Lepisosteus oculatus: one gene and its partner. The protein of the gene in region 2 purifies or fractionates together with the protein of the main gene of each other region. This does not show direct contact. Links are inferred from orthologs where the notes say so. Each region holds a gene or a part of one and is shown on either strand. Other genes may lie near its edges.

Region 1 (8,002 bases), on a different chromosome or scaffold from region 2:
CCGCACCCTTCCCATCACCCCCTGGGCAGCGGCACAGCCGCTCTCCGCCATGCGCTGGCCCAGCAGCCGGGCCACGCCGTGCAGGCAGGGCATGAGCGCGGAGACCGCCGCGTTGGCGTCCTCGCTCAGGAAGGCGGCCGCGATGCGCACCGTCCTCAGCACCGGCGCGAGCTCCTGCAGGAGGCGCCACTGGTGGTCCGCCAGGTTGGGCGGCGCCTTCTGCTCCTCCAGCACGGAGCTGACCACCCACTTGAGCTCCAGCAGGCTCTCGCACATCTCCAGCGCCGTGGCCCAGCGGCCCGGCTCGTCCAGCACCAGCCGCGCCCCGGCCTTGGGGTTGAGGGCGGCGGCGGCGCGCGCGTCGTGCTGGAAGTGGGACACGATGGCCCGGGCGGCCGCCAGCGCCTGGCGCACGGGCTCGGCGGAGAGGCCCTCCTGCACGCACAGCTTCAGGGCCTCCCCGGCGCAGCACAGCGCCGCCCAGCCCGCGGGCAGGGCCTCCCGGTCCTGGCGCCCCTCCTGCTCCTCGGGCGCCCAGCAGCGGTCGTGCACGACGGAGGAGACGGCGCTCTCCGGCAGGCGGAACTCGGAGAGCACGGACCGCAGCGCCGCCCCCAGCTGGGCCTCCGGCGCGCCCTCCGCGAGCTCGGGCACCGGCCGGGTCTCCAGCACGCAGCGGGCCAGGCGCCAGTCCCGGTCCACGAAGTGCGCGCTGACGGTCAGGTAGAGGCGGCCGCCGCCCCCGCCCGCGCCCAGCGACCTCCAGCGCTCGGCGCACAGCGTCAGGCCGCGGGGGGGCAGGCTGGCGCTCAGGTGCTGCTCCAGGTGCTGCTTGAGGGCGTGGTAGCGGTGCCACAGCAGGCTGCCCAGCTGCGAGGGCGAGGGCGCCGGGTACTGCGGCTCCAGGCAGCCCAGCAGCAGCCGGAAGCCGCGCTCCTCCACCAGGGACAGCGGCTGCAGGTCCCGGAACACCATCTCCAGGATCAGGTCCGTCAGCAGCCCCGCCCGCTTGCTGCTGCAGCCCCGCGCGCCCCCCCCGCCACCGCCGGCCTCCGGGTAGAAGAGCCCGGACAGCAGCGAGTGGCTGGGGGGCTCCGGCTCCGGGGCGCCGGCCGGGATCCCCCCGCCCGCCCCGGCCCCCCCACCGCCGGCGGCGGAGCCCCCCAGCCGCGCCCTCTTGCTCTCCCCCCCCTCAGGCGAGACCTCCGCCTCCTGCGTTTCCTCCTTGACCACCACCAGCGCCGCCGCCCCCCCCCCAGCCCCGCCCGGGCCGGGCAGGAAGGGGGCGGGCGGGGGCGGGGCCAGGAGGGCGGGGAGGGAGTGGTTGCCGGCGGCGGCGGCGGCGGGGGGGGCGGGGGCGGGGGCGGGGCCGTTGTCGCGGATGCTGTGCTTGCGGACCAGGTGCTCCCTCATGGTGGTGGTGCTGTTGTGGAAGGACAGCTGCTTCTTGCAGACGTTGCACTCCACGTGGCTCTCGCTCAGCTGCGTGTAGTAGTTCCACACCTTGGACTTGCGGCGGTCCACCGAGGCGCAGTACAGCGGCCGCCCCAGAGGCCCCCCCGCGCCCCTCTCTCCGCGCCGCTTCAGGGGCGGCCCCAGGCCCGAGGGCAGGGAATAGCCCGGAAACTCCATGGGGAGCAGGGGGAGAGGGCTCCTGGAGGCTGAGGAGACACAAGACGGTCGGCTGGCGACGTGGGGATTCTTGAAGTTCGAGATTCTCGCTGTTCGATAAAGAACAGGCTGGGCAGCTTGTCTTATCTGATGAACGTGATCACGTTACACCTGTTCGCTTCCCCCCTGCCACATCAGCAGGGCCACAATGCACTGCAAGTGTGGGGTAACCCCCACCCTCACCTGGAAGGGCCCCCCGTTATCACACAATTCCCTCCTGTGCTGCTCCCATAACACTTTCCACACCCCTGCCTGGCTCAGGATTTGACACTGGCTTTACTCTTCTTGCACCGTGATTTCACTGTGCTCGAGAGTTCTCTTACCATGATTTCAGTGCTTCATTACACTTCACTGTGCTTTTACCATGACTTCCCTGCTTCATAACACTTTACTTGTACCACGGTTTTACCATACACCACTACTACTACTCTTTACAGTGCTTCTACATGATTTCACTGTATTTGACACCTCACCCTGCTTTTACCACTATTTACTCCCAAAACACTCTTCCGGAAGAAATATCAATCGGAGCCTATCGTGAATACTGCTGTACACTCTCCAGCAGCAGGTAAACCAACACGCTGTGACCCACCTGGAAAATATCTTTGACACTGAAAGTCATTGACTGGAGCCAGACGAGCCGAGTAACTCGTCACACCCGGGAGCTGGACCCACCGCCCTCCGGAGTCCAGAGCCCCAAGCCCCTGTTCTGTACTGCTGCCCTCTAGCGGTGGTACAGCGCACTGCAGCGCCTCTCGCACCCGTGTCAGCTGGAGCGCCAGCAAGCAGCTGACAACGAAGGAGACCAACAAGCCTGCCCATGAAGAGCGCTACAAAATAGGCGACACGCAGTGACTACAAAGGCTGAAAAACGAGGCCACGGATATGCCCAGGACACAGAGCAACCAGGAACGGGCTTGACGGAGTGATGAATCCGGGTCGTGTAGCCGCAGTGGGACAGACTGGCCAGCGGGCAGTGGGTGCCAACGTCACCGCACTGACGCGGGCTGAGATTTCGCGGATTCGTGGCCCGTGTTTGTTGTTGTTGTTGTTGTTGTTGTTTGTGTGTGTGTGTGTGTAAACGCTCAGGTCGAGTCCTGCGTTTCCCGGGCTGTGTAAGTCGCGACTTAAGCCGTCGCTACCCCCCCTCTGCAATGACACATGACTCGAGTAACAGTTTACTTAGACCAGCGGTCAGGTAACGTCGACACCCGGCGCGCCGCCGGCCTGCGCCGGACTGGACAGCCCGCAACACTCACCCGGTCGCTAGGGGATCCTGCCGCCGGCTCGGGGCACCACGGTTACCGGGGAATGAAACGGAAGGCGGGCGCAGAAGCTCGTTCGGAAGTCACACATAGCCGAACCCCAGCCCGCGGCCCACCTTCCGACGGGAAATGATTCTTTCATATCCAGGGTCATGCTGCAAAGTGCCGCACCGCCCGGAAAACGGAGGGCGAAAGGGGACGCACGGTTTAGGGACCGTCCCCCATGCGCAGCGGGAAGCGTATGCGGATTTCACACTTTGAAAATCAAAAAACCGGGGGACGAAATTCTCGTCCTCTCGCCGGAAGGCTGGAGCAGCCCCGCGGTGCCGAAACGCACGATTGCGCGTCCGAGCTGCGCACAGCGGCGAGAGACCAGACCGGTTGTTAAACCGGTATCTGCGGGTACCAGACACCAGCCTCCACCCGACGGTGGACCTCGCTGCAGTGCTCAAAGGCATTCCTGTCGAAATTTCCCTTAAAGCGTTGTTTGGCTGTAACTACTGTAATTCCTTTGTCTAAATTTGGCCAGTTTGAACTGTCTGATTTTTCTCATTCTGTCGAGCTGTGGAACTTCGCTTCAAGGTTTGTTGAATACGTTACTAAATAAAAACTGAACGGGTTAACGGGCGTCCTTGTCTTTTATTAAGGGCATTTGACGGGATTTTGAATTGTAATTTAAAAAAAATCATTGAAAAAACATTTTTTAAAGCTTCCCTAGTGCCTGCTGGTTGTTCGTTTCTAAAAAACACGAGATCGAAGATTCACTGGGATCGGACTGGTTACCATAGTAACGGCTTCCGGCCGCACGGAAGCGCTGTCCGGTATAGGAATCCTGAGCTCGAGGCTGGAGGGCTGGTCCTGTTACCCACCTGAAGGTGTTCGAGACGGGGGATGGAAACTGACTCTCTGTGCTGTCCTCTTAGGGACCTGTTGCGGTAACATTCCCAGGAACACACATTTGACACACACACATACACAATGTAGGAAACAACACGTCAAGCCATGCAATCGGTCTCCCATACACCTGTTTGCAGACACCTGTCAACACTGCAGAATTAGTCCACTAATTTTGGACTATTAGTGTGTACATGCACTTTTCTGTTGTACAGAAGTAGTTCAGGTGGGGAGGTGGCGTCAGCATGCCTAGGCTCAAAAGGAACAAGTAATAGGTTTATTCCAAGCTGAAGAGAGAAGAGGGAAAATGTTTCACCCGAAGAAGGCTCCACAGCCGAAATGTCGTCTTTCTTCTCTTTCCAGCCTGGAATAAACCTATGGCTTGCTCCCTTTGTATCATACTTCTACAATACTCTTGCTTTCACTCTACTGAGATGATGGCATATCGTGGAGATTGTCGAAAGCTTGCCAGTGGCACGGTCACCACTACACAGCAGCCAGCAGCCAGTAGCCATATCACCCTGCAACTCACAACTGGCAACCCACTGGAGCCCAGCAGGTGTGAGCCTGGTCAGTACCTGGAGGGGAGAGACTCCTGGGAAACACTAAGGTTGCTGCTGGAAGAGGCGTTAGTGGGACCAGTAGGGGGCGCTCACTCTGCGGTCCAGGTGGGTCTTAATGCCCCAGTATAGTGACGGGGACACTATACTGTAAACAGGTGCCGTCCTTTGGATGAGACGTAAAACCGAGGTCCTGACTCTCTGTGGTCATTAAAAATCCCAGGGCACTTCTTGAAAAGAGTAGGGGTGTAACCCCGGCGTCCTGGCCAAATTTACCATCGGCCTTTATCAATCATGGCCTCCTAACAATCCCCCTCTTCATTTCTCTGCTCTCCTCCCCACGGATACCTGGTGTGTGGTGAGCGTTCTGGCGCACTATGGCTGCCGTCGCATCATCCAGGTGGATGCTGCAGATTGGTGGTGGTGGAGGGGAGTCCCCATTACCTGTAAAGCGCTTTGAGTGGAGTGTCCAGAAAAGCGCTATATAAGTGTAAGCAATTATTATTATTACACGTCGACAGCGCTGCAGTGTTGTGCTTCACGGTCTCTGGCAGGCGGGCCCGGCGCGTGCCTTTGCTGCGCCCCTCCCACGTGACACGGGCGCCGGCCCGCGGCTTCAGCGAGATGTGTCAGGCGTCAGGCGCAGACCGGAGCGAAGCCCACAGGCGCCGCAGTGTAACCGAAGCAAAGCGCACTGTCAGCGCGGACGCAATCATGGACAATTCCGGGAAAGAAAAGGAAGCACTGGCCCTCATGGCAGAGGCCGAAAGAAAAATCAAATCGTCGCAGTCTTTCTTCGGGACGTTGTTTGGGTGAGTGGCAGGTGGCGGCGGAGCGGGGTCGCGATCGGTTTGGCTGCCGGGGAAGGAGAGCTCGTAGACGGTCTAAGCTCGTTAGGAAAATCCGAGGGCGTGCGGCTGACGGTACAGAAGCAGAGGCCTGGCCGTAAAAGGCTGTCATGTATGCTTGGGAACGCTCCTGGTCATGTGGCATAACGATATCGACCTCCATGCGAAATAAAAGGACACCATCGATAAATACATTTTTAACTTTTTTTTTTTAGAAAAGTTGTACAGCACCGTTGAGCTACGGGCTGAAAAGTTGCTTGATCATCGATTTGCCAGCCTGTTCCTTCCTGGGTCGATTGTTCTGCCGAGTTCGGGGAGGGACGCAGGTCTGGGAGCTGCGGTTACGAGCTCCGCGGTCACATGTGTCGTCGAGTCAGCTGATCACACGACACCAGACTGTAAACAAAGTACTCTGACACCGGGTCCGCATGGTCTGACCCAGTGAGGAGCACTGGTCTGTCTTCCACCGCAACACAGAACATTCAGAGTGTCCTCTACCTGAACTGTCGTGTAGGGACCAGTTGTAAAAGGGCTGTCCCACTGTACTGGGACTGTAGCCCCTATTGTAACAGGACTGTTCTACTGTACTGGGACTGTAGCTCCTACTGTAACAGGACTGTTCTACTGTACTGGGACTGTAGCCCCTATTGTAACAGGACTGTTCTACAGTACTGGGACTGTAGCTCCTACTGTAACAGGACTGTTCTACTGTACTGGGACTGTAGCTCCTATTGTAAGAGGACTATTTCACTGTACTGGGACTGTAGCTCCTATTGTAACAGGACTGTTCTACTGAACAATCCTGTTGTTGTACTGATAATGAATAATTACAGTAGACGATAGAGAATCTTATCGAGGCATCTAAGCTGAGATGCTGTGTTGTAGCAGAAATGGAGCCCAGCAGGACAGTGAGTGTGTGTTAGGGGGCAGCTCTGTGTGTGAATTTCGTACTGTGACAATAAGATAGATAGATACTTTATTGATCCCGTGAGGGAAATTGCAGAAGAGGAGGGAAACATGCAGGTGTGTGCAGGCAGGCAGGCAGGCAACACCCCCTCTTGTGCTTCTGGAGAATCAGCATCTGGGTGAAGTTTATTCAGAGGTAGAGGTGCGTATCTTAAAGGGAAACTGCAGTCCCAGTTTCTCAGACCGGTTATTACAACTTGGTAACAAAATGATTCATTGACCATATAGGAAAAAAAAAGACAAATCTGAATTAAGCACAAGTACTGTAAGTCACCATGTTGTCGCGAACTCAAACATCCGAGTTGCGACGCGATGCGACCCTTCCTGCTCACTAGTCTCCATACTGACTAGTGAACCGATAGGAACCGATTGTGCAGCAGACATTTCACCACAGAAATGATCTGTATGCAAGAGTAAACAAGTAAGTGGTATTTGTCTGTAAAACGTTTCAAAACCTGAAGCAACATTTCTGCTGGATTAAAAGAGATTTATTTACAAAGGAACAGGTTAAGGTTTATTCCGTGTTGAAAGGAGAAAAAAAAAGAGACCACTGTAGAAATGTGTGCCTTCCTTCAGGTGTGTTTCTGCAATGTGAAAAACACAGTGGATTAAAAGCCGGCTTGTTTTGTGATGTAATAGGGCCACAACACGTCACCGGTAGTTTTGTTGCCTCTTTCTCAATCACAGAACACACCTGGGAATTTCAGCAACTATGTGATGTAACTTGGAGGCTTGACAAGTTACTGTGCACGTTTGACTGTTATTGTGGTTTGAAATGCACCCATCAATGCTGTTTTTTTCCTAACCCCGAAATCTAAAATCGTATATTTCAGTTCCCCTTTAGCTTGGGAACTAAGCCACCTCTCGCTCTCCCCAGCAGGGAAGAACGTCTTTCCTCAGTCTCCGCCCACAGAGTGGCTCTGCTTGTGTTTCCACCTGTCCGTTGATCCACTGGACGGGAACAAATTCAGATAATTTCCTTCAGTAAAATATAATTCACTAACTGCAGCAGCATTTGGAAAGATGTTACCTGGGTACTTTAGATCCCTGTTGGCTCAGTTTTGTTTGTCAGAACTATGCAGTGTTAATGCGTTAGGGAATCAGACTGATGACGGGAAGGAACTTGCTCTAAAACATTTGTTTTTACATCTACGTAAAGTAGTAGGCTCTGACCTTGCCTGTGTCCCTCCCTCTGTTCCTGGCTGGGTGTCCAGGGGCTCATCGAAGGTTGAGGAGGCATGCGAGATGTACGCACGCGCTGCCAACATGTTCAAGATGGCCAAGAACTGGAGTGGTAAGAGACAGAGACAGTGAGAAGGAAGGAGGGGTCATAGCGGAGTGTGTGTGTGCAGTGAGGTGTGATGCGGTGCTGTAGCAGTGTGTGTGTGTGCAGTGAGGTGTGATGCGGTGCTGTAGCAGTGTGTGTGTGTGCAGTGAGGTGTGATACAGTGCTGTAGCAGTGTGTGTGCAGTGAGGTGTGATGTGGTGCTGTAGCACTGTGTGTGTGTGCAGTGAGGTGTGATGCGGTGCTGTAGCAGTGTGTGTGTGCAGTGAGGTGTGATACAGTGCTGTAGCACTGTGTGTGTGTGCAGTGAGGTGTGATGCGGTGCTGTAGCAGCGTGTGTGTGCAGTGAGGTGTGATGCGGTGCTGTAGCAGTGTGTGTGTGCAGTGAGGTGTGATACAGTGCTGTAGCACTGTGTGTGTGTGCAGTGAGGTGTGATGCGGTGCTGTAGCACTGTGTGTGTGTGCAGTGAGGTGTGATGCGGTGCTGTAGCAGTGTGTGTGTGCAGTGAGGTG
Region 2 (7,348 bases):
GTCATCCAGTCCAGGGTGGCGGGAGAGTCGGAGACTATCCCAGTAAACAACAGGCACTAGGCCGCGGGGCAGGATACAGGGAATTGTATCCCTGCGACCCAGAATTAGAAGAATCAGTCACAGAAAGGATGGACAGATTAAGGGACTAATGAGGATCCACACAACAGAGGTTAAGCTGAATTTAAACTTTGCATTTTTCCATTTTTATTTACTATTTGCAGCCTGTTCAAAAGAAGCAGGTAGACACCACCTATCGATGTTATTCAGGGTGTACGACACTTGGACTGACAGCCACAAACGCGATGAACCAGAGCTGCCGCTGACTAAACGTTGACATAAACCAGGCACCAGTGCCTTTTTCCAAAATAGGGGATCTGTAAACTAAGCCAGAAAAGTCCCCTCCAAGCTACACATGAGCCACAATGCAATAGTCTGCGTTTCCTCTGCAGTCAGACTAACAAACACCTAAGGGGATTAATATTCTTCTGGCTGTGTGGCTCTTTTTCTCAACAGCCCAGTATCAGACCGCTATTTTATACTACAAGAGATAACCGTCGTGTTCAGATTGTCGGCAACCAAAGTATAAAGTATTTTAAATGATGCATGAATAGACGAGGTATTTCTGGTGTTCTTTAATCTTCTAAATTCACTTTCCAGCGCGATTCTGCAGAGACCCAAGACATCCTCAGGATCCACGCGGCATGTAGGAATTTGGGGCTTCCTGTGTCTCAAGGAATGGACGTCTCCTGTCTGCCTGCCCGGGAACAGCCCCAAGTACAGCACAGCCTGAGCTGTTGCGACATCTTGCAATTCAGAGCCACGCGCTGATCCCCAGCAGGAGCACAAAGGCACTGCGCCACACAGCTGGCCATCTCCCCCTGGCTGAAGGAGAAACCTCCTCTCTGGCCCGCCTGAGGCGATCACATGCCTGAGGCGGATCTCTGCCCCTTCATCCCCACCAGTGGAGCGAGGCGGCCGGTCCACCAGAGCAGGAGGCGAAGGGGCCGGGGACCGGCTGGCACCACCGCCAGCCTCACTGGGCTCCTGCCACAAGCACGGCCGTTGTGGCAGTTGGACAGGGCGAAGGGGGAAAGACGGAGAGGTGGCTCTGTGGCTCAGGATCCGCGCCTGTGGCTGGAAGGTTGCCGGTTCGTATCCCGCGGCCGGCAGGGGAATCCTACTCCGTTGGGCCCCTGAGCAAGGCCCTTCACCCCAGCTGCTCCAGGGGCGCCGTATAAATGGCCGACCCTGTGCTCTGACCCCCAGCTTCTCTCCCTGTCTGTGTGTCTCATGGAGAGCAAGCTGGGGTATGCGAAAAGACAAATTCCTAATACAAGAAGTTGTATAGGGCTAATAAAGTGATCTTATCTTAAAGAGGCGCGTCTGCAGTACGCAAGAATGGAAAGGCTAGGTCGGGCTAGGAACGACCTCAAAGCAGCCCTGGCGCGACGTCATCTCGTCCTCGCCTCGTCCGAATGGCCACCACCGCCTCTTGCCTCAGAGACCCCATCAGCCCGTTACCTGTAGCCCCTTCAACCACCCGAGAGCTGCGGGGATCGGGACACAGACCCAGCGTAAAGGGCGGGTCTCGAGCAGGCACAGGGAAACCTTAGGGACGCGAATCCCCCTGGCCAGCAAGCCCCCATGAGCTGGGAGGAAAATGAAATGGGAAAAAGACACATGGGAACGAGGAAGGCTTGCAAACTTCATACAGGACGTTCTTCCACCTATAACATCTGTCTTCTCATTTATTTTACCAAGAAGATTTGAGGCGATCCCCCTCGTTAGCATTCGCCCACACAGCTTCAGCAGACTGTCCAGATGTATAAATGGATGCAAAATATAGGGCGATTTCAATAAAAGCAGCAGAAAAATCGATGAATTAGTAACGAGGATATGCTTTTCTTAGGCTTTTTGTTCAGAACAGAATTCCCCAGTCCTTTGCATTGCATTTTTCTTCCTAAATATAATAAATGTCGTACCTTGTACATATGAATTACGAAGTTGAACATAATCAAACAACGACCCAAACTGCGATTTTCCTGGGAGTGTTAACAGCACTGTGGGCATCGCGATTAATAGGTGCTACCTCCGAGATAAGCGTCCTATGCTTTAAGCGAGCTTTTAAAAATAAAACTTGCCTGTTGCATGTAAGGTTTGGACAGCCGTTTGAATCCCGGCCACTTAAAATATACTCTCAAGAGTGATTTCAGAGCAAGTTATGCAAGATAGTGCGCCTGGACACACCCGAGGTGACCACAGCGAGGTCAATTATTAAAGTAATTTCCCGCACAACGACACGTCTCTTATAAAGCATATTAAAACATGACACCAAAACGCAAAAGTAAAAACCAAACTGCGGAAAATTTCGGTTAATTTTAAATAAGAGAAGCCCCCCCCCCCTTTCCTAAAGCAAGAAAATAAACCACCTCAACTGCGTTACTTCTTCAATAACGAAAAACCGAAAATGCAAAGTGGCGAATGATCCAGTACCGGCTTTCTTTTAACGTAACTCTTGATCATGTAAAAAAAATAATGAAGCGTTTACTCAAAAAAGAGTAACAGCGCCGGGTCCATTAAAAACCGTTTACTTCCCATAGTAAAAAAAAAAAACCTCAACAAAGTAACACATATGCAGCAAACACACAGACAATGGTGTCCTGGATCCTGGCTTTACCGTTTCAGACCTCGACGGATTTGTTATAAAGTTTAAAAACAAAAACAGAACAACGGGCCTACAAGTCAAAACTTAAGACGAAGCCTCGTTCTTGCCCGGCAACTTGACTCGGGACAAACGCCCTTTGCCCGCATCCCCGACACCTCACACGGGCGCCCTTCACACGTCGAAACGGGAAAACCGCCGCTCGGTTTCGGTGTCGAAATGTTGTTTTCGCGGCCCACCCTCTGGGCCGGGGCCCGAACGGCACCGGGTTTGACCGGGAGAAACATACTTACATGATTACCGCAACGGGACCAGCAACCAAGTGTAAATCGGGCTGAGGTGGTGTCAGCTAGTGCGACCAACTTTCACAGCAGGATTTAAAGACACAGCGCACTTCCCAGCTCACTCCCGGTCGCTGTTCGACCGTTTTCTCGCACTTTTACAAATCTCTAACCCTCTACCTTGCCTGAGGCCATGTATTTTAAGTGTTTTAAGTGTTTAAGTTCGGTGCATTTCTGTTCTTGCCTTTGCTCCAGACTGCACACATCTGACTGGAGTTAAATAATTCTGGATTAAATTAACTAAATAATTAACTTGATCGCAATAAACAAAAACGTCTCATGAAAGGGACTGTCCATCAGATGCGTTCACTTTTTGTCGTAGCCTTTTTATTTATTTATTTTTGGTTTCAAGCGGTTGTTGTTTTTTTAGCATTGCAAGATTGACCTACAAGTCGATTTACTTTAGAAAGTCTCCAGAGTGTACTCTAGTGAGACACCAGTTTGCAAGCAGCTGTTTCTTTTATACCCAGCGCCCCTTCGGATGCCCACCCGTGACGAGCACGCGTGTGACCGGCTTTGCGTGGCCTCGAGCATCCCGAGAACAAGACTATAAATAAAGAGAGGAGACTCCTGTTGGAAAATGACAGGTCGTTCTCCAACACATACTCAAGAACAGAGACACAGTTAAGAACTATACAGATCATCCTGGCAGAACAGAGTGATGTTCATTGCTTGTAGGACCCGAACGGGTTTAGCAATGGAAATCTCAAGGAACACTCCTCTGGTAAATATTTCAGCATTGATCTTAACAACAACAACAACAACAACAACAACAACAACAACAACAACAACAATAATAATAATAATAATAATAATAATAATTGCTTACGCTTACATAGAGCTTTTCTTGATACTTCACTCAAAGTGCTTAACAGGTAATGGGGACTCCCCTCCACCACCACCAGTGTGCAGCCCCACCTGTGCCCTGGAAATCATGTTGCTCTTAGGATTCAGAACACTAATACTTTTCTGGAAAATGACACAGCAACGCTTATGGCCTATAGAGCTGTGAACCAGCAGTTTTAGAGAGGCAGAGAGCTGTAGCACATTCATCGTGCTCCTCAACTGTCTCAAGCCAACATGCTCCAACTCCACGTGGACACCTACAGCTGTGTCGAATTAGACACTGAGAATGGTCTCTGAGCGAATATTACCAAGATCACAGAACCCCTGGGAGCCTGTCAGCACGAGTCTCCTGGACCGAAGGAAACAATCGTGGCTATAATGAAGAGTGTTCCGCTCAGACAGCATTTACGGTTTCCAATTAGTGTCTCTCTACGACAAGCACTTATTTTTTTCTGGTATTAAGTGACAATTGCACTGTCAACATTGCATTAACAGCAATTTATTCATCTTTAATTAGCACTGTATCAGTATTGATAGCAAATTCACTTGAGTTTATTGATTATCATGGAAAAGACCCAACGATACTCATACTGCCAACCATAAGCCCAGCCTAAAGTCTTCAGCGTTTATTTTCAGGGTATACACAGATTTCCATCATGAAAGTTCAAATGTAACAGAAAAAACAAAACAAAGCAACATCATACTATGAGAATTTTCTTCATTTTTTTATTATTTTACAGCAGAAAGAATATAAAGCATTCAGAAAACATCTTCCATATTTTAAGGGCAATTCAAAACGTTTTGCATGGCTTCAGCAGCTGAATTCTTTTTTAAATTTTTTTAAACATTTCCATCGATTCAGTGACGCTTTTACATGCACAATTACAAAAATAAAACTTACAAAAGAGAGAGAGAGACAGACACGGAGAGAGAAGGGGAGAGAAGGGGGCAGGGAGCAGGAACAGAGAGAAGGAGTCCAACAGAGGGGAAATTAGACAGACAGAGAGGAGAGAAAGATCTAACACTAGTTTCACATGCAAAGTGTTGGGGGCCCACTGCCTTGTTAAAAAAAGCAGGGCCATTTTTTGTTGTTTTTTTTTTAAATTTTTTTTTGGAAATGATGAAAAACGTGCAACTAGGCCAGGGGTTTCATGATATCGCTGTCCATAAATCACTGAACACCTGTCTCGCAATACTGGCAACTGCAGAAGTGGAAGTTAACTAGGTGTACTTGATATTCTTCTAGAGACCTGGAGATCTCACTCCCAACAAAAAAAAGATTTATTGCTTTGTGTCTGTAAGGAGAAAGCCCTGTACTGTAAGAATCTGCTCTGATATTTCCCCAGTGATCCAACCTGCTTTGTGTTCGAGTGCAGTGCGGGAGGTGTGTGTGGGTCTGTGGTGTCCAGTTACTACAGCTGGAGTTGACACTCAAAATTCGATGCCTATCACCTTTCTCCAAGATCGGACTCGGATACTAGCATGTGAAATTTCCCCATCTTTAAAATGTGAACGGACAGTATTCTAGGATTCCCTTTAATTCCAGGATTTTCTTGAAATCGGATGCTTTGGAGCCGAGATGAATTTCACTCAACTCAATTAAAATAGTTAATGAGCCGCTTTTACAAATTCCAGCGAAAGGGGCTGCCAAACACAAGCCGGATCTTTGTGATCGACATCACTGGTGAAGGAGGAGTTTCTTTGCTGCTTCCTAATGTTTCTCACGTTAAAAACGCTACATGTGTCTTTTAGTATCCATGGGAGATGGGATCATGGGACCAACTACCAAAGTAAATCTAACAGCCAATTTTGTAGTAATACTTTGCCAAAACACTCTAAAAATGCAAAACACCTCCATATGATGAAATCTGCTGTGCTAAACAACTGACCTGTTTGCACTGTCTTGCACTGGAGATGTGAAGCAGAACTCCAGCTAACAATTTTTTTAAAATCCATGATCAGACAGGCGGTAAAATGATATCAGATCCTTCACAAATTCTTCATTCTGAATATCCCTATGAACATCCCCTTTTCCTCACGAATCAATCTTTCAGGGCTCCTAAACGTAAATCATATAAATACAAATATTCATTTGTTCCCTTATCTATTGAAGCAGTTAATACACATAAATGGCAAGGGTCAATGCCATTGTGTCAGTATATGTTTATGCTGTAACAAACTATGCAAGCGTAATATATCATGGTTATGTTTTGTAATTAGTTATGCATGCGCGATTGATGTGATGTGTCATTTTGTGCGATATATTCAGATGCACAGAAGCAATGTGTGTCCATAAAACTTTTCCCCTAGGGAACAATAAAGTGTATTTTATCTTTCTGTATATGACAGTGTAAGAGACAATGATTCATAGAGAAGGTTAAGACTTCTTGCACTGCTTGTTAACTCCTGAGTATGGAGGGGTAAGACATTTGACTTTGTGTGTAGGACGAACTGTGTGCTCATATGTTTGCACACTGTAGGCCAATGTCCCGTGTCTGCATGGAAGAGACACACGCATGTGGCGGCTTTAAACACACCTCACCATGCTGATCTGGCAGTAATTCCATAGATATCACTGCCAGTCTATGTTTCACTGTCTGCATGCTGGCATTCCAGCCAAGGCTGGGTGCATCAGGTACTTCTGATATATCTACAGTAGGGTCGCCTGGCGTGAATGCACAACGGACCTAGACAACACGCAACCTTCGCACATTCTGCTCCAAAACAAGCTACACAAAAACAGAATAACCCTAAATCCTAATGTTCATCATGAATCAAGAAACTGCACTTCTGGAGTGTTTTAGCACAGCATTATTCATAATTAAAATCAATAATAAGTCAAATTCTATTGGCACACTGGCAGTATTTTTCAACTAATTAAATCAGACGATGGATTATTAGCCAACACATCCCAGAATCTAGCTGTCAAAGCAATCCGTAACGCCCACTAATGGAATTGGGGCACATCTAATTAAACCCACTGACCTCTTGGACTATTTCAGACTTTTGGTTTAAGGTTTTACATCAGCAATAACTTTCATTGTGAAAGAAATGAATTAGATTCCTCAGTAGTATTTTTCCATGTCAGGGGCTGCAGGTTGCAGGAGAAGCACAGCTACTTCATGAAGCAGGTGGGATAAGATGTCTGTCACCCTCCCTGCTCCCCAGAAGTAAGGGAAGTAGCCCTATTTTATAGCATCATCCAAGGTTTTTGCCCACATGGCTGAGCACTGCAGCCAACTTCACATTCATAGCAAAACAGGACTATTAACACTGTCTTGATTAAACAAGAATTGATAATGCTGTCTAATTTGCATCTCTTCTGGAATACTACAGTAATGTGCAGAGATTACCCTGCTGCCCTTGGTCTTGCCTCAGACTATTGTCTAGAGGGTCTGCAGCCCCCCCAGTGGAAAGGAAAACCCCTTATGAATTAAATGCCCCTAAGTGTGAAATATAGATTCTTTTTTCCTTAACTTGGCTACAGATCTCAATAGGT

Evidence for each region. Proteins that work in one complex are often made in the same cells at the same time.
Region 1: the proteins of vamp3 (region 2) and alpha-soluble NSF attachment protein purify together in Homo sapiens (affinity purification with mass spectrometry; 3 studies listed by BioGRID and IntAct, with this or other methods). This does not show direct contact. The link is inferred for Lepisosteus oculatus from reciprocal best matches to the Homo sapiens genes VAMP3 and NAPA.

Annotation. Positions count from the first base shown.
Region 1 is NC_090698.1:6,291,086-6,299,087, reverse strand, and holds the start of alpha-soluble NSF attachment protein, read left to right. Parts: upstream 1-4,996; 5' UTR 4,997-5,014; coding exon 5,015-5,202; intron 5,203-7,418; coding exon 7,419-7,498; intron 7,499-8,002. Other genes in the region: zbed4l2 (E3 SUMO-protein ligase ZBED1), read right to left, coding at 1-1,632. UniProt on the Homo sapiens protein: Required for vesicular transport between the endoplasmic reticulum and the Golgi apparatus. Together with GNA12 promotes CDH5 localization to plasma membrane.
Region 2 is NC_090720.1:9,620,567-9,627,914, reverse strand, and holds the start of vamp3 (vesicle-associated membrane protein 3), read right to left. Parts: upstream 3,081-7,348; 5' UTR 2,958-3,080; coding exon 2,956-2,957; intron 1-2,955. UniProt on the Homo sapiens protein: SNARE involved in vesicular transport from the late endosomes to the trans-Golgi network.